4 linked regions of the Rattus norvegicus genome follow. The protein of the gene in region 3 purifies or fractionates together with the protein of the main gene of each other region. This does not show direct contact. Links are inferred from orthologs where the notes say so. Each region holds a gene or a part of one and is shown on either strand. Other genes may lie near its edges.

The links. The genes of interacting proteins can lie anywhere in the genome.
Region 1: the proteins of Sf3b4 (region 3) and Snrpb2 purify together in Homo sapiens (affinity purification with mass spectrometry; 4 studies listed by BioGRID and IntAct, with this or other methods). This does not show direct contact. The link is inferred for Rattus norvegicus from reciprocal best matches to the Homo sapiens genes SF3B4 and SNRPB2.
Region 2: the proteins of Sf3b4 (region 3) and Ilf2 fractionate together in Homo sapiens (co-fractionation; 3 studies listed by BioGRID, with this or other methods). This does not show direct contact. The link is inferred for Rattus norvegicus from reciprocal best matches to the Homo sapiens genes SF3B4 and ILF2.
Region 4: the proteins of Sf3b4 (region 3) and Rbm17 purify together in Homo sapiens (affinity purification with mass spectrometry; 4 studies listed by BioGRID and IntAct, with this or other methods). This does not show direct contact. The link is inferred for Rattus norvegicus from reciprocal best matches to the Homo sapiens genes SF3B4 and RBM17.

What each region holds. Positions count from the first base shown.
Region 1 is NC_086021.1:150,851,043-150,856,726, reverse strand, and holds the start of Snrpb2 (U2 small nuclear ribonucleoprotein B''), read right to left. Parts: upstream 3,894-5,684; 5' UTR 3,866-3,893; exon of another isoform or gene 3,463-3,865; coding exon of another isoform or gene 3,434-3,462; exon of another isoform or gene 3,341-3,433; intron 2,183-3,340; coding exon of another isoform or gene 2,158-2,182; coding exon 2,094-2,157; intron 1,630-2,093; coding exon 1,457-1,629; intron 1-1,456. UniProt on the Homo sapiens protein: Involved in pre-mRNA splicing as component of the spliceosome. Associated with sn-RNP U2, where it contributes to the binding of stem loop IV of U2 snRNA.
Region 2 is NC_086020.1:178,255,021-178,260,819, forward strand, and holds the start of Ilf2 (interleukin enhancer-binding factor 2), read left to right. Parts: upstream 1-1,906; 5' UTR 1,907-2,012; coding exon 2,013-2,017; intron 2,018-2,795; coding exon 2,796-2,855; intron 2,856-3,193; coding exon 3,194-3,236; intron 3,237-5,799. UniProt on the Homo sapiens protein: Chromatin-interacting protein that forms a stable heterodimer with interleukin enhancer-binding factor 3/ILF3 and plays a role in several biological processes including transcription, innate immunity or cell growth.
Region 3 is NC_086020.1:186,419,348-186,425,259, reverse strand, and holds the start of Sf3b4 (splicing factor 3B subunit 4), read right to left. Parts: upstream 3,594-5,912; 5' UTR 3,357-3,593; coding exon 3,323-3,356; intron 2,946-3,322; coding exon 2,817-2,945; intron 2,373-2,816; coding exon 1,830-2,372; intron 1,605-1,829; coding exon 1,398-1,604; intron 1-1,397. Other genes in the region: Mtmr11 (myotubularin-related protein 11), read right to left, coding at 4,714-4,860, 5,318-5,611. UniProt on the Homo sapiens protein: Component of the 17S U2 SnRNP complex of the spliceosome, a large ribonucleoprotein complex that removes introns from transcribed pre-mRNAs.
Region 4 is NC_086035.1:71,845,049-71,850,833, reverse strand, and holds the start of Rbm17 (splicing factor 45), read right to left. Parts: upstream 3,894-5,785; 5' UTR 3,779-3,893; exon of another isoform or gene 3,719-3,778; intron 1,791-3,718; 5' UTR 1,776-1,790; coding exon 1,653-1,775; intron 1-1,652. UniProt on the Homo sapiens protein: Splice factor that binds to the single-stranded 3'AG at the exon/intron border and promotes its utilization in the second catalytic step. Involved in the regulation of alternative splicing and the utilization of cryptic splice sites.

The DNA of each region.
Region 1 (5,684 bases), on a different chromosome or scaffold from region 3:
AGATGTCTTATGCTCTAAGCACATGAGATCTAGACTGCTAATTCTTCATATTGAGTAGTATTAGCTGATTTCAGGAATTTCACCTTACTGAAACCAGGAAAGAGTGTGATACAGCACAAGGGCTCCGCTGTAGTGTGCCAGCTCACAGTATGGGGTTGGCTGGAGCACCCCCACTCCCATTCTCTGTGTATTTACTGTTTTTCCTGATTTTCTTGCTATCTAAGAGAAGGGCTACCACAGAAGAGCATCTGGCTAGTGAGGCCTGCAATCTTACTGCCTGACCGTATTAAAAATATGTTCCCTCCTAGCATACAGAAAAGCACAACCTTAGATGTTTTAATAAGATTGGTGTCCAAGTGCTGATGCACTGGCTATAGGAATGCACCCTAAATGGACAAGATTAGCCTCATGCCCTATCTTTCTCCATGACATACAAGGGCTAGACAGAAGGCCAAATCCAGATTATGACCAGTTTTTGTGCAGCCTGCGAGTTAATAATTTTTAACACATTTTTAAAAGGTTAAAAACACACAAACAAAACAATAAGTATCAGAAACTTTATGTGGTCAGCAAAGCTTGAAGTGTCTATTCTAGTCCTTTGGATCCCCAATTTAATCCAAAGATTCAATTTGCTCATATTGTAGGGTGGTGAGTGTGAACAGAAGGACAGAATCTGCCAATGGCAAAACCAGAATGAGGATTCAGATCCTCTAAACCACAGGCCTTGGCTCTCCAAGGCCTCATTACACAATTTTCCAATCCTAGCAGAAAGGCAGTATGAATCCATACTCAAGATACAATGTATGTACTCACACTTAAGACATGTGTTCAACTCATTTCCAATCCTCTGTCACTGAGTCTTACACCCAGGGACCTCATGCCCTCTGGACCAGCCTTTCCACTTGATTCTTTGAGACGAAGCCTTATATACCCTGGGATCTCCTTGAACTTCTGATCCTCCTGCCTCTCCTCCCAAGAGCTGAGAATACGCGCATGTAACACCATGACTACCTTAATTTCTCATTTTTTAAAAGAATTTTACTTGTATTGTTACCTTATTTTTCAATGATATAAATCATAATATATTTTAGCTTTGCTCATTTTAACTAGAATAAATTAACAGTTAATTCAGCTGTAGTAGTGTGTATTTATAACAATATTCATATAAACCTTGTGTGGTGGTGCACTCCTATCATCCCAGCACTTGGGGAGTAGAGTCTAAAGGATTAAGCCCTGGCAATATAACAAGTTAAAGGCTAGCCTAGGGTACCAGAGACCCTTTCTCAAAACAAATAAAATAGCTACAAAATATCCCTAAAATCTCTAAACAAACAAACAAACAAACAAAATCAAACACACAGAAAGCAATAACTTAGTATTAACTCTTCACTTAAAAAAAAAAAAATCTATTGACCGGTCAATAATGACTACAGTAGAAATAATAGGATCAGCTCACCATTGGTTTACCATAAAATGGAAATCCTTGTAACTGTCTCAAAGCATTTGTGGATGAGCCCAGTTCCTTAAATATAACAAAAGCCTGCCCTCTCATCTTCATGGTCTTTAAAGCCACAATATCTACCACATGTCCAAACTGAGAAAACAGGGCATACAGGGATCTCTTCAATTCTGTACAAACAAGAAAGAAAACATTTTGTGAAGGAAACAAGAATTAAGTTCTTCATAAAATAACAATACAATGAGCACCCTTACCATTCATTTATTTATACTGACTTAGCAAAAACACACTACTCCCATTGGCTACCCAATTAAAAGTTATTTGAAGCCGGTTGGGGATTTAGCTCAGTGGTAGAGCGCTTGGGTTCAAGGCGGTCCCCAGCTCCAAAAAAAAAAAAAAAAAAAAAAAAAAAAAGAAAAGAAAAGAAAAGTTATTTGAAGCCACTTGTGAATTAAAACATTCAAAACACACAATCCCTGCAAATTCTTATATTAAAAATTCTTAAAAGTGTGTAAAAATGGGATAAACCATTGTTGAACACCAAGATGACTAAAGGAGACACTGAGACCATTCCTAAGACACAAGTGAATAACCGCATGTTAGTTGTGAAAAAGCGGTTTTTAAAAGAACATACCTTCTTTTTTAATTTTGTCATTCATGTTGTTGATATAAATCGTGTGATTTGGTCTGATATCCATGTTTGGGTAAAACTCTTCAAGTAGCCTAAAAGAAATAATAAATAACCTATTATTAGCAAGGAGGGTTAAATCATGCAGGTTATGGCATAGCCAAAACCAACAACTATTAGCCGATCCATTATTTTTCCACCACTGACATCAGAAAACGTCAGCTGAAGTAGACAGTAATTCCTCCCTAACTTCATAACCATCTCTTTTAGACAAATGGAAAATAGCTCCCAAGATCAAAGCCTGGTAGAACAATACCAAGATTCTACAAATTGGTAGAATCTGTCAGCACATAGGCAGAGTTAGAAACATTATTCAGGTTATTCTTTCTTAAGCCCCACTTAAATGATATTGCCCTTTCATCTACAGAATGAAGTAACTTTTTAAAGTATACTTACTAATTCTTTGAGAATGTCATACGATGTATTTTGATCATATTCACCAGAAAAGTTTTTCAGTAAAATGAGTTGAACATTTTATAAAAGATCAGTAAACACACACGTAGTTTAAAAAAATTGTAATAAAACAATACAAATTAAAACACAGTTCATGGATTCACTCACGAATGTATTTATTGAAACGTTTAGTGTGTGTGTGTGTGTGTGTGTGTGTGTGTGTGTGTGTGTGTGTGTATGTATGTGTTTACTAGTGCCATCGTGTATGGTGAGGTCAGAGAACAACCTTTCAGGGGCTTTCACTTCTGTCTCTTCAGGGGCTTTCACTTCTGTCTCTTCGTCCACTATGTGAGTCACAAGAGCCAAACTCAAAGTGGGCAAGGTCAAGTAGCAAAAATCAAGAAGGCCTGCCAAGCCATCTCGACAGCCCTCAAATCTATTTATGTGTGTGTAGATAGACAGACAGACAGACAGATAGGTAACTCAATGGACAGTTTAGAAAGATAATTCAGAACTCATATTCTTGTACCAATAATATACAGATTCAAGTTCTGTCTATGCTTTTACAACCTGCTTCGAGGTGGGGCAAGTTCCTTAATGTCTCAAGTCCTCAGTTACAAATTATGGATACTAACTGCGCCTATAAAATGAAGCCCATAAGATTATGAGACAGACATCTAGCAGTCTGCGTCAGTAAGCACCTAAAGTTACTATTTATTATCGATGGCTATTACACGTTAAAGGACGCAAGTGTCCAATGTCATACAACAAGCTGTTCTGAACATCAGAGTGTTACTTACAGGAAGGGCCTGCACTATGTAGGTAACGGATAAGTAACGTTTATCAAAGGTTTGCCTCCCAAATGGGAACCTGGAGAAGGGCTGGTGTCTCACCTGAGGGACAAGAACAAAGGCTCTGGCATTAGCTCCTGCGGGCACCTGAAACCCAAAAGGCTGCCGGCGGTCGGAGGGAGACTGAGAGTGCACAAAGAACTGTACACCCTGCCCCGCCTCCAAGCAAGCAACGTGCTATTTTCTCTCCTTGGGCTAATTTCTATGTCAGCTCGAGCCTCTTTAAACACCTGCTGATCTGCCCAACACTAGGGTCCTCGGACATTAAAAATCCAACCATCCCGCAGAGAACAGGATACGACGCCGGGCCTTAACCCGCCAGCCCTAGGGTCGCCGTCCCTTCCTTCCATGCGTCCGCGGAGCCCGGAACCGCGCAACCAACGACACCTTCGCTCTGGCTGGCTCAGTCCGGACGGGACAGATCCCACCAAAGGCCGAGACCAGCCACAGCAAGGAAGACCCCGGCAAACCCACCTGAAGCCGGCGCGGTCCGCTTGAAGCTAAAGCCGGAAGAGGCTCCCAGCGCCGGAAGAGGACCGCCACACTCCTCAATCGAACTCAGATAAGTCGAAGAGCCGAGCACCGATTCAATCGAGATCTCCTCGCCAGGGTCGCCAGCGGCAGAATCTTTCTGCGCATGCGCATTCCCGTAGCCTGGAGGTTATAGTGGAAAGGGGAAGAACTGGGTGGGATCAACTTAGGATACAGCGGTCAAGGAGTGAAGGCAGAGAAGGGAAGGGTAGGGCATCGTTTCCATTACTGAAACTTTGAAGTTTCCCAACTTTATGATGTGAAAAATTTTACAGGAGCGTGTCTCCAGCGGCAACTTAGTCAAGCCTTTCTATGGGTTCTGCCCAACTTGGCTTAATACCAGCTGTAGAATTGCCATTGTCACTCCCTGAAGTCAATCAATGGGAGTCTGAAAGAACACTCCAGCACTCTACAGATTGCACCTTAGATGCAGCCCAGTCTTCGACCCTAGAGCAAAGAGATTCGTGAGTCTTTGCTGGTACTCTCACCAGATTTCAGGAGAAAGCAAACTAAGGATCACATGCCTAAACTCATTTAGAAACGGTTAACTCCCGCCCTCTCTCCCACCTTATCCTCACAAAATGCCTGGATTTTTCTAGGCTAAAAATTGGGTCAGGGACCAAATCAGTTGATTTTATCAGCTTGAGTGTTCTAATATTTGAAAGCCACATGAAGTTGCAGGACGGAAATAGTGTTTTTAGAGTAGTCATTTTTATCCCCTTTGCTCACTGAATTAGGAGAATGACTTACACTCAATAAATGGATGAATGAATGAATGAATGAAGTTTCGTGAAAATTAGGCCATACTAAATCAAATGTGATAGCCAATGAAAATCCTGTAAATGTGGGTAGGAAATAATGTTAAACAACCACAGAAAAGTGTCCTTTAATTGTGTAGATAAAGAAACCAGTCTGGTTTTTGTAAATATTGAATATTGAGTGTGTTTTTACCAAAAGAACATCAAGTAAATATAAAATAATTTCTAAGCAACGAGAAGATCTGAGCAGTTGATTGCTGGTGCTTCATTACAAGGAGAGCGCTGAAATAAGATATAACCTGCCTGTGTGACATAAACTGATCTGGCCGAGAGGTCATAGCTATTTTTAAAAAGAAAATTTATAAACATGCAAGGACATTCCACCTGGGAAGAAAATAGAGATTTAAAGAAACTCCACACCTTTTCTATCAAAGCTTGAATCATGGCTACTATACCTTTTACACAGCAAGGAAGAAATTGTCCAATGACAACTCAGTGTCAGTGGTTTCTGTGCTGTTTTCCAGGTTCATGTATAAAGAATGAACACATTTTTGTATCCATGAGTAGTCACTGCAAGCTTTCCTCAATGGTTTTGTGAATGTCGGAGAAAGCAAGAATTGAAATAGGGTCTGGCAAGGAATGAAGGGGAAGGGGCTTTCCTGGTTGTTGCAGGATATTTGAGCACACTGTAAACCCAGAGACTGTGTTGTTTACTGGGGGGAAAAAGCTGTTTCTAGTTTGGTGTACCTCAGCTTTAGCACATACACACACAGCTTTAATCCTTCTGGCTGGAATATAGACATGCCTTGAGTACACACTTTAATCCCAAACAATGAAGTAACATTAGTTGGAAGAAAGAATCACCCATTTGGAAGTGATGTCTAATTGAGTGGCAGACAAAGTGATGAATCAGAAGAAGATTTGACAGAATAGGATATGCCCAACTCTCACGAGAAGAGAGAGAAAAGGGAAGCTACTGAAGAGGGCAGTCCAGAGACAAGGGG
Region 2 (5,799 bases), about 8.2 Mb from region 3:
GGACTTGGCTATGGCACATTCTCCCCACCTCAAATCACGCACACACAGTAATGAATAAACTTTACTTTTTGCAACAGCTTAAAATATGTTTTAGATTTACTTATTTTATGTGTACAAATGTTTTGCTCCCATATATGTCTGTGTACCATGTGAATGCCTGATGTCTGTGGATGTCAGAGAACTACATTCCACCCCCTGGAACTGGAGTACAGACAGTTGTGAGCCACTGTATGGATGAAGGGAATTGACGCTTCTTGGTCCTCTGCAAGAGCAACATAACAAGTGCTCTTAACTGCTGGGCCATCTCTCCAGTCCCTAAATAAACAAACTACTGTTGTTTTTGTTGTTGTTGTTATTATTATTATTATTATTATTATTAATTTGTTTGTTTGTTTGTTTTTTTGAGGTAGGGTTTCTCTGTGCAGCCCTGGTTGTCCTGGAACTTTCTCTGTAGATCAAGGCCAGTCTTGAATTCAGAGATCTGCCTGCCTCTGCCTCCCCAGTGCTGGGATTAAAGGCCTGCACGACAAGGTCCGGTTTAAGGATTTATTTTATGTTAAGTTATGTGTGTATATGTATACGTGCTTGTGAATACAATCCCCTAGAGGACTTTAGAGATTGACTGAACTTAGGGTTGGGGATTTAGCTCAGTGGTAGAGCGCTTGCCTAGGAAGCGAAGCGCAAAGCCCTGGGTTCGGTCCCCAGCTCCGAAAAAAAGAACTGCTGAGTCATCTCTGATCGAGCCCCAATAAAAAGAAAATCTAAAGGCAAACCTAACCCACGATAGTAGAAATCCAGTATGGTTATCTTTCTGAGATGATAAAATACTGTTTTTGTGAGGCAGGATCTCCCTATGTAGACTTACTTGGCATGGACTGGTTACCTAGAATAGTCTGACCTTGAACTCACAGAGATTCTCCTGCCGCTGCCTCCCAGGTGCGGGAATTAAAGACATGCTCCACCATGTTTACCAAAATATCCTTTAAATTTTTTTCCGTTACATTTATTTATGTTGTGTTTGTGGGTGTCACCACACCCACGGCATTCATAGTGAGGTCGGAGGACAAAATGCAGATCGCGGCTCACCTTCCATCACTGAGTCTCCAGAGGTCGAACTCAGGTAGTTGCGATTGTACCTGCCGACTCACCTTGCCGACCTGATAAAGTATTCCTTATTTTAATGAGGTTACTTAGAAGGAATAGATGCCTACAAAAGTAAATAATACATCAATACTTGTCAGAATCACCTAGCATAGGGAAGTGGGGAGGGAGGATCTGGGTGGAACTGGGGAAGAGAAATACATGATCAAGAAAAATTGTATGACAATTTTCAATAAAAAAGAATCATATAACAGTAATGATATTGAGGGAAAAAATGGTGGGAAATGGAACTATTTCTGATATTTCCGTAAGGTAAAAGTTATGTTTTCAAGTGAGGCGGCACACGGCAGAGATTGCTAAGAGTTTGATGACAGCTCAGGCTACATTAACGAGTATTATGTAAACTAGGGTGACAAAGCAAGACGCTGTCTGGAAAAAAAAGTTGGAGAAGGAAAAAAAACCCCACATCTCTTGCTATGGAAAAATTTAATTGTATTTTCACCCGTAAAAAGAAAAACAAAGTCTCCGATAGCAGAGGATGGTTTCGATCCATCGACCTCTGGGTTATGGGCCCAGCACGCTTCCGCTGCGCCACTCTGCTACCTACTGGTAGGCTATGCTTGTATTACCATAGAAGACTTTACCTGCTTACAGCCTCAAATTCTGAACGCCCTCTACTGTAAGTGGGGGAAATTGCCTCTGTCCCTGGTATGTCTTCTTATTGGTTGACTCCTTTACAGAGCATTTCCATTGGTTGCTGGGTTAACCAATAAACGCACGGGACGGAGTGAGGCGGGAGCCTATCGCGCAGGCGTTTGTTGGGACACGCCGACCCGACGTTTCTCTGTTACCTTGATTCTTCCAAGCGAAGAGCGGTTGAGTGGTCTCCATTGTTCAGGATTAAGCGAGCCATGAGGTAAGTAGACAGGGTGCTTGAAAGTTCCTGCCGTAGCCTCGAGGGATGGGGGGTTGGAGTTGGGGAGCAGGCTGAAATGGAGTCGGGGGAAGAAGGGCCTGTATCTGGGCGGCCGGCGGAAAGCCGGGCCGGAGAGAGTGGAGTAGGAGGAGGCTGGCCGACTCGGGGAATCGGGCCTGGAGGGGGGCCGGGCCCCAGCAGGGCAGTTGTGTTGATTCCTGGGTCTCGGGGGATGGAGGAGAGGTCTTAACGGACCAGGAAGATCACCCTCCGTGCGCAGTGAGCAGGCTGGAGCGCTGCACATTTTTCTGGTGCCTAGTGTTTGACCAATTGGACATGTCTCGTAACTGGTATGCTGTATTAATAAATGAGAAGTCACCTTACCCTGAATATTACGACCCGTGTGCCTCAGGATCGTGGGTTACTTAGTAGGGGTATGTATGTCAGGTTCTGAAACTCGTATTTTCCTGATGTGAGTTTTGATAAAATCCTGAATTAGAAGTGGGGTGTGGTGGCTCAGGATGCAGTCTTGGGGTGGGGGGAGGTAATGCAGGAGATACATGAGATTCCGTTTCAAAAACAGAAGAAAAAAAAGTCCAGAATTAGGATGTCATGAGAGTGGGACTGGACATCATTTGGAATCGGGGAGAAGTGAGCATGATATATCTGTCGACTTCAGTAGTTGGAGGGGGGTCAGGGTAAGTCACATTGAAATAACATTGATGGTGTGATGGAAACCTTTTTCAGCAACATGAGAGTAAAATGTATGTACTTTTAGGGGTGACAGAGGACGTGGTCGTGGTGGGCGCTTTGGTTCCAGAGGAGGTCCTGGAGGAGGGTGAGTGTGGCTGTTCACGTCTTTGCCTTGGTTTGTTTCAGTAGATAGGAGTTTGGAGTAGATTGTTCTGTTTGATTTTGTGAAAACCACTCGAAGCATTTCTTTTCCTCATGTCCTACAAAGTGAATTTGGCTTTTTGCTAAGAATGATGCAGCTTAGAAATGCCTGAATTCTTTTTTTTTTCGGAGCTGGGGACCGGAACCCAGGGCCTTGCGCTTCCTAGGCAAGCGCTCTACCACTGAGCTAAATCCCCAACCCCAGAAATGCCTGAATTCTTAAGACAGAATTCTCTTGCTTGCTTTCTGCCTGAATAATTTTGGATTGTTTTCATGTTTCAGGTTCAGGCCTTTTGTGCCCCACATCCCCTTTGATTTCTATTTGGTGAGTATTTTGGCTTTGGAGAACTTGACTGGCTACTGCTCACTTACAGGTGTAGAAGCCCAGAATCCTTGTTAATGACGTTAGATACTGTTTGGAGTAGGATTCAAGAATGGATCTGTTCTTTGAGAGTGGGTCTTCTGTATGATTGGCTGGCCTGGAACTCTATGTATACCAAGCTGACTGCAAATTCATCATCTTCCTGCCTCAGCCTCCTGAATGCTAGAATTACAGGCATTCATCTGCTGTAAGTTTTTTTTTTTTTTAAGATTTATTTATTTATTATATATAAGTACACTGTAGCCGTCTTCAGACACACCAGAAGAGGGCATCAGATCCCATTACAGACAGTTGTGAGCCACCATGTAGTTGCTGGGAATTGAGCTCAGCACCTCTGGAAGAGCAGTAGTGCTCCTAACCACTGAGCCATCTCTCCAGCCCCCCTGCTGTAAGTTTTTATTTACTTAGTTTGAGTGCTAGAGATGTGAACATGCTACATGTATACCCCATTAACTGGTTTTATTTTATTATTGTATTTATTATATATTGCAATCTACTTAGAGCTATAACTACAGGTCTAACATGGCTCTAGCAGAGGACACAAGTTTTTCCCGGTTCTTACATCGTACATAGTGCACATCTGTCTGTAACTCTGATTTCCAAGGCTCTTACGTCTCTGTTGACTTCCACAGGCTCTTGCACACAGGATGCATATACACACACTGTGGCACTCGCATATACATAAATACATATTAAAAACAAGCCAGTTCACCAGCCCAGCCAGTCTTAAAGAGAATGAAGTCCTTTTGTGATACCAGCAATGGAAACCCCAGCAATAGGACCATTGTTAGTGTTCAGGGCCAGCCTGGGCTACAAATGAACCGTCTCAATAAGAACAAAACTTAGAAAAGAGTGTAAGCAAGGCAGGGAAGATACTTTCTTTACAGTTTGATTGTAATATTTGTCTAGAAAATACTTTTTTTTTTTTTTCTTTTTTTTCGGAGCTGGGGACCGAACCCAGGGCCTTGTGCTTGCTGGGCAAGCGCTTTACCACTGAGCTAAATCCCCAACCCTAGAAAATACCTTTTTTTTAAAAAAAAATATTTTTAGGACTTATTTATTTACTTTGAGACATTGCGTGTGTGTGTGTGTGTGTGTGTGTGTATGTGTGTGTGTGTGTATAAAACCTTGGCTGGCCTGGAACTCAGAGATCTGCCTGCCTCTGCCTCCAGAGTGCTCAATGTGTATATTATACTACATGGTAGATTATAATTAGTTTCTTTCTTTCTTCATTTATGTTTGGATTTTTAAACAGGGCTTTTCTCTGTAGCCCTGGCTATCCTGGAACTCAGAAACCCACTTGCCTCTGCCTCCTGAGTGTGTGCCACCATTGCCATCTGGCTTTTTTTTTTTTTTTATCAGGGGCAGCTCTTTTTTTTTTTTTTTCGGAGCTGGGGACTGAACCCAGGGCCTTGCGCTTGCTAGGCAAGTGCTCTACCGCTGAGCTAAATCCCCAACCCCCCATCTGGATTTTTTTTTTTTTTAATTTTTTTGTGTATGTATAAAGTGCTTGCAGTATATATATATATATATACATACATACATACATATATACATACATATATTATATGTTCACCACCTGCATGCTTGGTACCTTTGGAGGATAGAAGAGGTTTGTCAGAGGTTGTGAGCTACCATGGGCGTGCTAGGGATCAGTCTGGTTCCTCTGCAACAGTAGCAAACACTCTTACTGCTGAGCATTCTCTCTCTCTCTCTCTCTCTCTCTCTCTCTCTGTGTGTGTGTGTGTGAGAGAGAGAGAGAGAGAGAGAGAGAGAGAGAGAGAGAGAAGAGAAGAGAAGAGAAGAGAACACAGGGTTTCTTTGTGTAGCCTTTGCCTGTTCTGGAACTCACTCTGTAGACCAGGCTGGCCTTGAACTAACAGAGATCTGCCTTGCCTCTGTCTCAATGAGGTAGCGATGAGGGCTACCACCACCCGGCCTTTATCTGTTTTAATGTAAATGATGAGCACTCTGGCTGCTGTTGTAGCTTCCTTGTAGAGTGCTTGCCTGGCCTGCATAGACCAGAGTATTTCATATGTCAGGGTGGACTGCACACCTATAATTCCAAGTCCAGAAGAAGAAGAGGCAGGAGGATAAGATTCAGTCATCCTCAGCTACCTAGCAAGTTCAGGTCAGCCTGCAATTTATATAAGACCTGTTTCAAAAAAAAATAATAATAATAGCAGAAAAATAAGGTTTGTATTTGGACTTGAACATCTGAAGGACTTAAAAACAAGTGTTGTAAGGTGTACTGGCTTTAAAATGGAGTGGATGGGGGGTTGGGGATTTAGCTCAGTGGTAGAGCGCTTGCCTAGGAAGCGCAAGGCCCTGGGTTTGGTCCCCAGCTCCGAAAAAAAGAAAAGAAAAAAAAAATGGAGTAGATGGGAAAAATAGAATTAAATGTAGAATTTTCTGGGTTTTTTATTTTTTTAATTCTAAAGATTTATGTGTGTGTGTCTGTCTGTATGTGCACCACACACATGCATAGTACTAGTGGAAAGCTGAA
Region 3 (5,912 bases):
TCTCATTTTCTTTCTCTGACTTAAGCTTAGAAGTGATGACAGCCAAGTATAAGACAAGCAGAACTTGGCTCTGTGTGTGATAGGACTTGGTGGCAGATAGATGCTGGGACAAAGGCCTAATTCTAAGGCCAGTAATAACTCCTTAGGAAGATCAGGCCTGATAGCGCACACCGTATTGCCCAGCATGCTAATGGTAAAGGCAGAAGGATCAGTAGGAACGGAGTACCTAGCAAAGTTGAGACCAGTTTGGGGTACATGAGACTGGTTAAAAAAAAAAAATTAAATTATGAGAAAAGAAAAGAAAATTTTAGTCTACCTTGGTAGTGCACACTTTTAATTCCAGCATTTAGGGAGGCAGAAGCATGTGGATCTATGTGACTTTAAGCTAGTTTGGTCTACAGAGAGTTGGAGGTCCACCAGGACTACACTGTAAACCCCACCCATCCAAAAGAGGAGTCCTTAAGAAGACAAGAGAGTAGGTGTCAAGAGAAGGTTTGACATGTGCAAACACCAAACACTGAACATGATAAAGCCCGAAAGCTCAGCCACCAGGAGGACCTGAACACTGGGCAGGGACAGTGAGCCCAGGTAGAATTTTAAGGACATGTCTACGAATACCTTGGAAAACTTACTCAGTGAAAGTAGATCAGATACAGAGACCTGAGTCACAGTGGCAGGAAGATTCCTACAGGAAGTGATGTGCAGTGCAGTCTAGAGCACTGGCTTGTGGCAAACAACAAAAACATAAGCTAGACTTGCTATGTAAAGTGGAAGACTGAACAGACAAACCCCCAGAGTTGTGGACTGGGCTCCTACAAGTGAGAGCCATTGAAGATGGTGTTGGAAAGAGAAAAGTAAACTGTGGGTTGAGCAGCAGCCTTTTCTAGTCTACCAAGAACCTCAGAACAGAGACCCAGAATAAATCATAACCTTCACATTTAACACTACAGATAAACACAGAAAAGAGAACCAAGCACGAAATCTACACATACATAAAAAAGGAATTGATCCAGGTTGCTAAAGTTGACATTAGAAAATCTAAAAATACATATGCCTTTAATCCCAGCACTTGGGAGGCAGAGGCAGGAGGATCCCTGAGTTTAAGGGTAACCTGGTCTACAGGGGGAGTTCCAGAACAGCAAGGTTTACACAGAGAAACCCTGTCTCGAAAAACCAAAAGCAGAAATGTCTTCTAGATTTGGCAACCTTGGAAGCAGAGGAGAGGTTGAGAGCTTTTGCCAAGCACAAGCTATAGGTGGAGATAACACAGGAGCACACCAACATGTACAAAGTATTGTTTGTTTTCTGAAGAAAAGGACTCTGGACTATTTCCACCCAAGACAAAGAGCACTGGGAGAAGCAGTACAAAGGCCCCTCTACAAGCTCAGCGCACTTACCTGGATGGGGCATCCCACCTGGTGGGAATGGATGAGGATGTGAATGTCCATGACCAGGATGTCCAGCCCCTGGAGTTCCTGCTGCTGGGGGACCATGTCCTCCAGCCCCAGGTGGCATAGGTGGTGGGGGCATTGCTGGGGGTATCCCAGGAGGAAGGGCCCCAGGAGGTGGCACTGGAGGTGGGAACGAACCAGGAGGTGGCATTCCTGTTTAAGAAATGAAGGACAATTAGTGGTATCGGACAGAATGTCTTTCCCAGCATGCTACACTCCAGCTTCCTAAGGACATGCACCAACTTCTTCCCTCCCACCAGCATCCTCACTCCTCCCTCACTGCCCACTGACTTCACAGCTTACTCTTCCAGGGCTTCCTCTGCCCCCTGACCTCCCTCCCATGGGCCTCACTGGCATAGTCTGAACTACAAGCTGTACCTGGTGGAGGAAGCCCAGAACCCAGGGATGAAACCACAGGATTGGGGGCAGAGGGTGGAGGGGGTGCATCGGCAAACAGCTGATGAGGGCGGTCAGCCTGAGACAGCGGGTTCTGGGCTGCCAGAAGTCGTTCAGCTGCTGAGCCATGTCGTTCACCCTTAGAGTCCTTCTTGAAGGCATAAGACACAGTGATAGGGCGGTTACACAGGTACTGCCCATTCATGGCCTCAATTGCTGCATCTGAAGCATCAAATGAAGCAAAATTAATGAAGGCGTAACCCTTGGAGTTGCCTGTGTCAGGGTCCCGCATAATCTTGGGGGTCTGTAAGATGACTCCAAAGGCGCTAAAAGTATCGTAAAGCAACTTCTCATCAATTTCTGGGTCCAGATTTCCAATGAAAATGTTGGCTCCTACATCCAGGTTTTTGTTGTGAGCCGAGGCTTTGTTCACCCGTATTGGCTTCCCATAGAGTTTGATCATGTTCATAATCTTAATGGCATAGTCAGCATCTTCCTCACTCAAGAATTCAACAAAGCCATAGCCTAGGAAACCAATGAAAAAAGACCACTCAGGTGAAGAGATTCAAAATCAAACATTAACTCACCAGTTTGCAAACACAAAGAACAAAGCAGGTAAGGGCTGGGTGGGGGCTCATGCTTCTAATGCCACCATGCTGGAGCAGAGGTGGAGCCCTGAGTTTGAGGCCAGCCTGGTCTACAGAGCATGTTCCAGGACAGCCAAGGACTACACAGAGAACCACTGTCTTGAAAATAAAACAATAAAAAGAACATGACAGAAGAATAATCTTACTTCACTTGAGAATGGTTCCAGTAACTAGTGCTAAGAGAAACTATTCCAAAAACTGAACTGAAGCTTAAGGGGGAAAAGAACCTTTAGGTTGCTCATTCCAAAGTAGTTGTGACTGGAGTTGTGACTCTTCAGGGGCCGTTAACGCTATACAGGGTTAATTCTCGACATGTACTCACCTTGGTGCTGGCCAGTGACTCTATCCTTTGGCATGTGGGTGTTGACCACTGGCCCTGCCTGGAGAAAGAGCTCCCATAGCAGTGGCTCGCTCACTTTCTCGTCTAGACCTCCCACGTACACCGTGGCATCTAAAGGGAAGAAGCAGGAGGTAAGGAGAGGGTCAAGAGTGAAAAGTAAAATAAAAACCAAAAACGTTAACTAAAGACCCGAAATTCCCTCAGCTTCCACAGTCTAGAAAAATCCGCTACGTCTAATTTGGCATTCTTGCTGATCCTGTATTTCCGGAGAATTTTGTCTTCTTGGTAGAGGAGTATTTAAAGAGAATGGATCTAGAAGCATCACTCTTCATAGGCCTGGGCCTCCACTTGGCCTCGAGGCGAGCCAGGCGCCCAGAGGTCGGTCTCACATCAGAGGGATCTCGTCTCCCACCCAAGCAGAAATGCTTCTGGCATTAATCAGCTCTTCACTTCCCTGCCCCTATCTTGGTCTCTTTTCTCCCAATTACCCTGATTCCGTTCGGAGATCGGTCCGGCAGCCATGGCGAAAGGGCTCCCGCCGTCTCTAAGCAGCAGCACCGCCCCCCTGACCTCAGTTTCTACTTCCACTTCCGGGCCAAGGCTCACATTGGGCGGGGCCGGCGACAAGGGAGGAGCCGGAAGCGATCGCGGCCATCTTAGGAGTCAGATTCGTGTCGGACAGAAGGGAAAGGTGCTCTGGAGCTGCCGCAGCAATCGGGGTGGAACAGAAGTGAATCAGCCGGTCTTGATACAGTTAACTAAAGCCCTGAATGCTTCCAGACTGTTAGGGCATCACACTGCACCCCAAGCGCAAATTGAAATGCTAAACCAAGCTTTGTATGTTCTGTGACGCAGAGACGTGTGCTAGGCAAAGTCCCGCCATATCCAGGGCCAGGACTGCCTTTGAAAACAGCCTATTTTTAATTCGGTCCACAACGCTCGTGCAGATTCGCCCTCGGCCTAGGCTTGAGCTCGAGGTATTTTGGTTTCCCGTAAGTGTCAGAGCTCCTCCAATCTTGGGAAATTTGAGACCGAGGGTGCTCACAGGCAGGTATTGAAGCTTTAAGAGGCAGGTGTGGATCTCTGAGCTAAAGGCTAGCCAGGTCTACAGAACGAGATCCAGGACAGCCATGGCCTCACAGAAAAATCTGTCTCGGAAAAAAAAAAAAAAAAATTCCAGGCTAGCCTGATATACAGAGAGACCTTGTCTCAAAAAAGGTGTGTGTGCGTATGTGTGTGTGGGGCGGGGGGGCTTTCCCAATATTTCATGTGCATTCTGCCCAGCCCTGCCAATCCTTTATTTCCTTACAATAATAAGTGTCCTTTTCTCAGTTCACACTACCCCACAACCACCACCGCTTTGCTGAGATCTTCATTCAATACAAGAAAATACCAGCAATGTGTAGAAATACTGTGCTTTAATGAACTCCTTAAATAGAAATGCTGCTACAAAAATATACAGTGGGAGGAGGAGGTGTCTCCCTTATTCACCTCATTCCCACAGAAGACTAAGAAAAGATTTCAATGTAGTGTTGAGGGGTTGAGAATGAGGTCTCTAGGACACCTTGCTGGGGCTGATGAAAAGGGTCTCTGATATCATACTTTTGACAACCATCCAAATGGCACAGAATTGCCTCGAAAAAAGGCAATCATTCTGAATTGGTTTTGTTTCTTATTTTTCAAATCACAAGAAACAAAAATAGCTCCAGGAACCAAACGAGACAGGAGAGCTGGAGGTTGGTAGCACCATCTACAGAAACTGGCCTACTAAGTGAGCTTTACAGACTGGAATACCAAACCCGAAGCACCAAGGTCAGACATAAACATCAGCAGAAACAAACCCCCGCCCTCTGCCCTGCCTTTGAGATGGCTAGCAGTTTCAGCAGATCTGAGAAAGGATAGTATTTGGATCTCTTTTCTTGCTGTGGTCCTCCGGAGATATTCTTGGTGTCCATTTTCTTAATAGTTCCTGAAGATGAGACAGCTCATCTTGAAGGCCAGAGATTGTGAGAGCTGAAGAGCCTATCTGGGGAGAGGCAAAGGAAGGTGCAAAGAGAGATTGTCACAGGTCTAGTTCCTTTTTCTTTTTTCTTTTTCTTTTTTTCTCAGGTTTGTCTGTTTTTATTTTCAAGACTGGGGTTTCTCTGTGTAGCCCTGGCTATCCTAGAACTAACTCTGTAGACCAGGCTGGTCTCAAACTCAGAGACCCAGTTGCTCCTGCCTCTTGAGAGCTAGGATTAAAGGTGTGTCCCACAACTCCCTGGCTAGTTTTCTAGTAAGATCCTTGGTACTTTAAAGTCTTAAATGTTCTTTCCCCTTCTAATAGTGCTCTAGATTCTACGTGCTCCAAAGTCACAGGCAGTTCCCACCGCCTGCCATCCCAAGTGGACCCGATTTGATAAATGGAATACTACTCCCCAATTACTCCAGCCCTTTGCCTTCTCAGCTCTTTCTCCCCCATCCAATCTGTCTTCCCTTCTCACCTGGACCTCCGGCCTTCCCCTCAGGTAACAGCGTTTCCAGAACCTGATCTGTGGTCCCAAATATCCAGGCAGCAGTAGCCCAGGAGGTAAAGGGCAGGCTCCCCAATGTGAGGGGAGCCCCCATTCCTGGTCAGCTAGGCTTTCAGAGGATCTAGCCGGTCGAGGGAGCCAATGAGAAGAGACTGTCAGCAAGGAAGTGCTGTCTTGCCAAGGACAGAGCTGATTCAGGGGGGTCAGGGCCCCTCTGGAGAACAGCCACATAGAACTGGGGGATCCAGGAACCATGAGGCTTGGCTAAAAAAGAAGAAGCCAACAGACAACTAGAGAACAACCTCTCTCTGAAGTGGGAAGGGGTACCTGGCTGCTGGACTCACTGTGCCAGTGCCAGACTGCAGCCCTCTCGTCTGACCTCCCTGCTCATCAGGCTTTCGAGAGTTGGGCCCATTAGGTTGATTTTAGAGAAACATGACATATGGACATGAACCAAGAAGACAAACAGATGAAGACCCAAAGAACGCTCTCCTGCTCTAGAGCATGTCTTCTGAAGGCAGGCTGCAAGTGACAGCAATTAAAGATAGTGGTATCTTTCTCTGAG
Region 4 (5,785 bases), on a different chromosome or scaffold from region 3:
TGTGGCCACTTTATGGCTGGCCTTAAACTTACAGACCTACCTGTCTGTCTCCAGAGGGCAAGCCCTATCCTACTTCTTTTAGAATGACTACCCCAACCAGACAACAATTATTCAATCTGTCTGTCTGCCTGTCTATATGTATGTTTGTATGCATGCATACTTGGGTGTGCATGCATGTGTGAGGGCCGGGTCTCTTCTTACACTATAGGGTTCTAGGGATCCAACTTGGGTCATCAGGCGTTGTCACTCACCGAGCCGCCTCACCACCCCTCCCTGTTTCCTAAACGTGCTTTTGATTTCCAAATCTTCAGCACACACCACCTCCATCTTCTTTGTTTTTCTCTGGGACACTGTTATTACAAGTGCTGCTACATATGTCTCCCTAACTTACAGCTCTAAGTTCTAGCAGATCTAAAACCTGTTTAGGTTGAGGTTAAAGGTAGTAGACAAGAATATCGTACAGCAAGCTGGTGAACACCACCAAATCCTCAGGTTGCCAGGATGCCATGGCAGATCATGCGGACGGACTGACGGTGATCACCAAAGTTTAACTTCTCGGTTTTAAAATTTAAAGTGGTACAAACTTTCATTCTTATCAGGAAGTCTGAGCTCTCTGGATTTTAATGGTGCTCTAGGCAAACAGCATATCATCAAGGTATTATATACAAAACCACAATATAAACCCTAACTTTCCATAATGGGCATTATGTCAATCACTTATTTAGTCATTTTAAAATTTAATTTTTCAAAAATGAAATACAAATGAAATCAAACCTTCACCTTTCAGATACAGGTAAATTTTTCCATACCAAGTATTTTTAAAAGTTTGGTTAGTACTCTGAGAAATTCACCAAAGAGCCCAAGAGAAACAATACAATGTAACTTCACTTCCTCATAAGAAATCAACCACACAGATGATAGTCCTCAAAACTCATGTCAGAAGGTTAGCAGATGGTTTAAAGTAATGTTCCATTCTGACTGATTAAAATCTATGTGCAATCTCAAGACAATTGCTAATAGCTGACATTAAAATATCTGCACAGCTGGGTGTGGTGGTACACACCTTTGATCCCAGAGTTTGGGAGGCAGAGGCAGGCACATCTCTGAATTTGAGGCCACCTTGGTCTACACAGACAGCTCAAGGACAAATATTGAGATCTTGTGTCAAAAAGAAACATAGAAACAAAGAAATTTTAAAGACAATGCCATGTCTAACACAGATGAGCAATTCCCACCTATGACTACACATGCTGGGTATGTTCACAAACACCAGAGCCTTTCGTGGTGCACACTGTGGCGCTGATTATCGTGCAAAGCTCAATTCCAAGCTTCCTACAACAAACTAGGGGGACCCAGCCTAGACCAGAAGTGCCAGAGGATATTAGGACCACGGTATGAAAGCATCATCTGAAAACAGTTCAAAGTCAGTCTCCGACATCCTCCGGTCTAAAGCCAGTCTTGCGACTGAGTTTCATTCCTACTCCATGAAACTGTCCTGTTAGTTCCAAGAGCCAAGAGAAGTAAAGTAATCAACTCTCCACCCCTCTCCCCATCCACTATTTTGCATTTATCCAACAAGGGGGCAAGCTTAAACTAAGCTGTTCTCAAGGAGCTCAGTGGACTTTCCCACTCCTGCTTGGGCCTGCTTTTACCTTGGCTTGAGTGAGAGCTGCCTTCTTCACCTGGAGCTGGGACTGCAGAAGCTTGAAGTTTTTGGACCAGCCTTCAGTTTTTGAGTCACTGGTCTCCACTCCCAGGTCATCATATAGGGACATCTTTTTGGTTTAATACTGAAAGACAAGCAAGGGCAGAGACTAAATAATGCAAAACAGAAGCAAGTTATGAACATCTCTGTTAAAATAGCTGTACCACGGTCCCTGCTGTCACAAGTGCAAGGTTCTTTCTAACCTGCAAAACTATTCCTAGGCACTATTTTAAAAACAGTCCTCTAGAGTAAAACCTTCAGTTACAAAATAGATAATGAAGTAAGATGGACAATCTCTGTTTGGGGCATTATTAATGGTTATTAACCAGGTGGTAGAGAGATGGCTCCGTGGTTAAGAGTACTGGTTGCTTTTCCAGAGGTGCTGAGTTCAGTTCCCAACAACTGAACTGTAATGGTGGCTCAGAACCATTTCTGAGTCCCATGAGGGCCAAGATTGTTACAAAAAGAAACCTTGTCTCAAAACAAACAAACAAACAAACAAACCACACAAAAAAATCCCTCACCAGTGTGGCCAGCCACTGGGTTTTAGTAAATTCTGGAGGTAGCCACAATCACAAGTCTACCCCTGTTAGCTTGATCCACAACACAATTTCTATCTTATACTTAGGGCTTAAAAAAAGGATGACATTTTACAGAATCATTTATTCCCCTCCACATGTAACTATCTCCAACAGTTTAAATTTCCCATCCACATTACCAAGATACCATAGGCCACAGCCTATCAAAAGCAGAGCAATTCGTAACTGAAGCCAACGGCAGAGCAGATTTCTGTACTGTTCTGACTTGTAGAATTACCTACTAGAGTGAACTGTTCCCTGTTGGAAGGATATGTGAAAAATTCATGTTGGGGGGAGGGGAGGTTTGTAATAACAAATGGGGGGGGGTGTCAATGAGAACCCATACGGTAGGAGAAAAATGACTCCTGTATTTTCCACATGTGACTTGTCCTAAAACTCCTGATCTGCCTGCACCTTCTAAGCACTGGAGTTCCAGGCATATGCTACCCTGGGCTAGGTTACTTTATTTACTAAACTTTGTTATCTCGAAATGCTTACAGCTTATCCCAGTATAAATGTGCTCACGTGATCTAAAAAAGACACCTGTTGCAGAGAGACAGGCCTCACCTATGCTGAGAACAAGCGGAATCATCTAGAAAACCATACTTTCCACCCTTATATACCCTTACCAATAAGAATTTATGTCAACGGTCCTCCCTTCCTGACTTCTCAATGGATGGTCACCCCTCTAAACCCCTCTTCATCCCTTGTCACCGTCTAAAACTGCAGAATACTCTACAGCGCTCCTCGGCTGTTGCTTCCCCACTCCCTCATTGGTGCAGCCTTTCCCGATCTGCCCTTGTAAGAAAACTCCTCTAAACTGAATAAACATCGGCTCCTCTTCCAGGTCTTTCCAGCTTGTACTCTGGTTCTTCGGATCAATCCAGCCCTGGGTTTTCGAACACGCTTCTTAAGAGATCTAACCCCTGGAGAAGCATTGAGCTTGAAGCACGCAGTCATAGTGCAACTGGTCCAAGTAGAAGAAGCTCAAAAGCTAGCGGAGGGACATGAACTTCCCTTAACACAGACCTGAGCATGCCGGGGGTTACAACTGTCTCTCTCTAGCCAGGTGAGACAACGTCCTCTACCCTCACTTAAGGTGCTCTGGAGGAAACAAGTTTGGGGGTTTGTTTTTGTTTTTGGCCTCTCCGTTCATGAGGCCCGAGGCACCTTGGGTTACTGGGGTCTAGCGACTCAACACCTTGGTCTGGACATGGGCCATGAAGAGGAGAAAGGAACGTTCTTCCTGTCAAGAGGACCGCGACAGGTGGAGGGGAGATCTAGGCGGCCCAGGGGAGCATGGCAGGCTGAAGGAGCCTACCGTGGAGGGCTGGGAACCCCCGGGTAGCTCGGGGTGCCGCGCCCGCATCCCCGCGCCCCTTACGGCGCGGCCTAGAGCCGCGGCCTCGCGTCCAGCGCATCCGTGAAGGCGCGCTCACCCGAGTCTCCGTTCCAGATCGGAACCGCCTGCCAGGGCCGCCGCGGCGCCACTCACCCGGCCTTCCGAGACGACTGTGCCCATGGGCCACGGCGGCGGCAGCGCCGAGCCCGGCCGCCCTGCGCGGAAGCCCGCCCACCGCCGGAGCCCGCCGCAGCACCGAGCCTCCACCGAGTCCGCAAAGTGATGCACCGCGCGGGGTAGGAGAGCGGGGGCTGCCGGGAGTACACGTCTGCGCCTGCGTGCGACTCGCGGAAGCAAAGCTGCACTGCCCAGGTCGCACTGCACCCTGCTGACCGGAGGACTACACTGCATCCCGTCTCTGCCGGCCAAGAGATGGCGCCGTTGGCACAAGGTTTCGAGATTCATGTGCCTTCAGACCTTGAGTTCAGGAGCCAAGAGAATCCCTTCCTAAGCTCTAGTTATTCATTCTCAACCACTCTTTTATATACTAAACGGTGGAAATACAACTCTGAAGGCGAGATATTGCAGAATAGCATTGAAGCTGGGTCTTCAGAGAAAGAATGTAAACACTATAGAAAAACCAGGGCTCTGTGTAAACGTGTTTTTTTCCCATGGGTAAATTTTATTTCAACCTATAACTGGGTGGTCGTGACCTACGCCTTTAGTCTCGCACTCGGGAGGCAGAGGCAGACAGACTGGTCTCTAAGTTCGAAGACAGGCTGGTGTCTACACAGTGAGTTCCAGAGCAGCCAGGACTACACAGAAACCCTATTTTGAAAAATAACAACAACCACAAAGAAAAAGAAGGAGAAGGAGGAGAAGGAGAAGGAGAAGGAGAAGAAGAAAAGAAAGAAAGAAAGAAAGAAAGAAAGAAAGAAAGAAAGAAAGGAAGAAAGATCAAGCTAATAAAACTGTATTAGTCAGGGTTTTCAATAATCAGAGAGTTTATGGAATATCTCTATGTATTAAATGAATTTATTGCAATGACAGACAGTCTGTAGTCAACTAACCAAACAACGGGCAGCTGTGAATGGGAAATCCAAGAGTCTAGTAGTTGCTCAGTCCCACAAGGTAGGTCGTTTAAGCCGCTCTTCTCTATAAGCTGCAATCTGAAGAAGGAGGTCCCAACAGAGGTACTGGCAAGTAAGTGCAAGCAGGCAAAGAAGAAGAAGACTGAGTCTTCCTTCTTCCATTGTCTTATGTCCTCAAGCTCTACACCTGGATCTAAAACTTGCTTTGTCCCAGACTGGCCTTGAACTCAGGACTGCTTGCCTCAGTCTCCTGGGATTAAAGGCATGTACTATCTTGCCTGGGCCTAAGCTTTTCATAGACACTGTCTCATGATCTCCATGCCAAGATCCAAGTCAGAAGCCTGTGTCTTCCAGTCTCAAGATCCAGATCACAGGTGTGTCCTCCATTTCTGGGTTGTGGTTCATTCCAGATGTAGTCAAGTTGACAACCTGGAACAGCCATCACAGAAACTGTGGAGGATTAGGTGAATCCTGGCACGAGTGAACACGCCAACATTATAATCTGATTTATAAGAATGCATTTAAGTAATTCTGAAAGTCTGAAAATGCAAGACTGGGGAAATGCACCTGTTTATGGCAGATAAACACAAAGAAATCAAATAGCAACAATGTGTGCGGGTTGATTTCTGGACAAAAGTTTAAAATGACATTTTATAACACAGTCCCGATTGCAGGAAAAAAAAATAAGAGGGGGCTGGAGAGATGGCTCAGTGGTTTAGAGCACTGACTGCTCTTCCAGAGGTCCTGAGTTCAAATCCCAGCAACCACATGGTGGCTCACAACCATCTGTAATGGGATCTGATGCCCTCTTCTGGTGTGCATGAAGACAGCTACAGTGTACTTAATGTAATAAATAAAATAAATTAAAAAAAAATAAGAGAAGTCTATGCATCAAATAACACAATCTTATTATTCATAGTAAACACTATAAGGAATAATAAATAGGGAAGAGGAATACACACACACACACACACACACACACACACACACACACACACACACTGGGATTTTGTTTTTGTGAGACAGAAGGGAATAGCTAAGATCACTGCCTGCTCTTTCCGAGGACCTG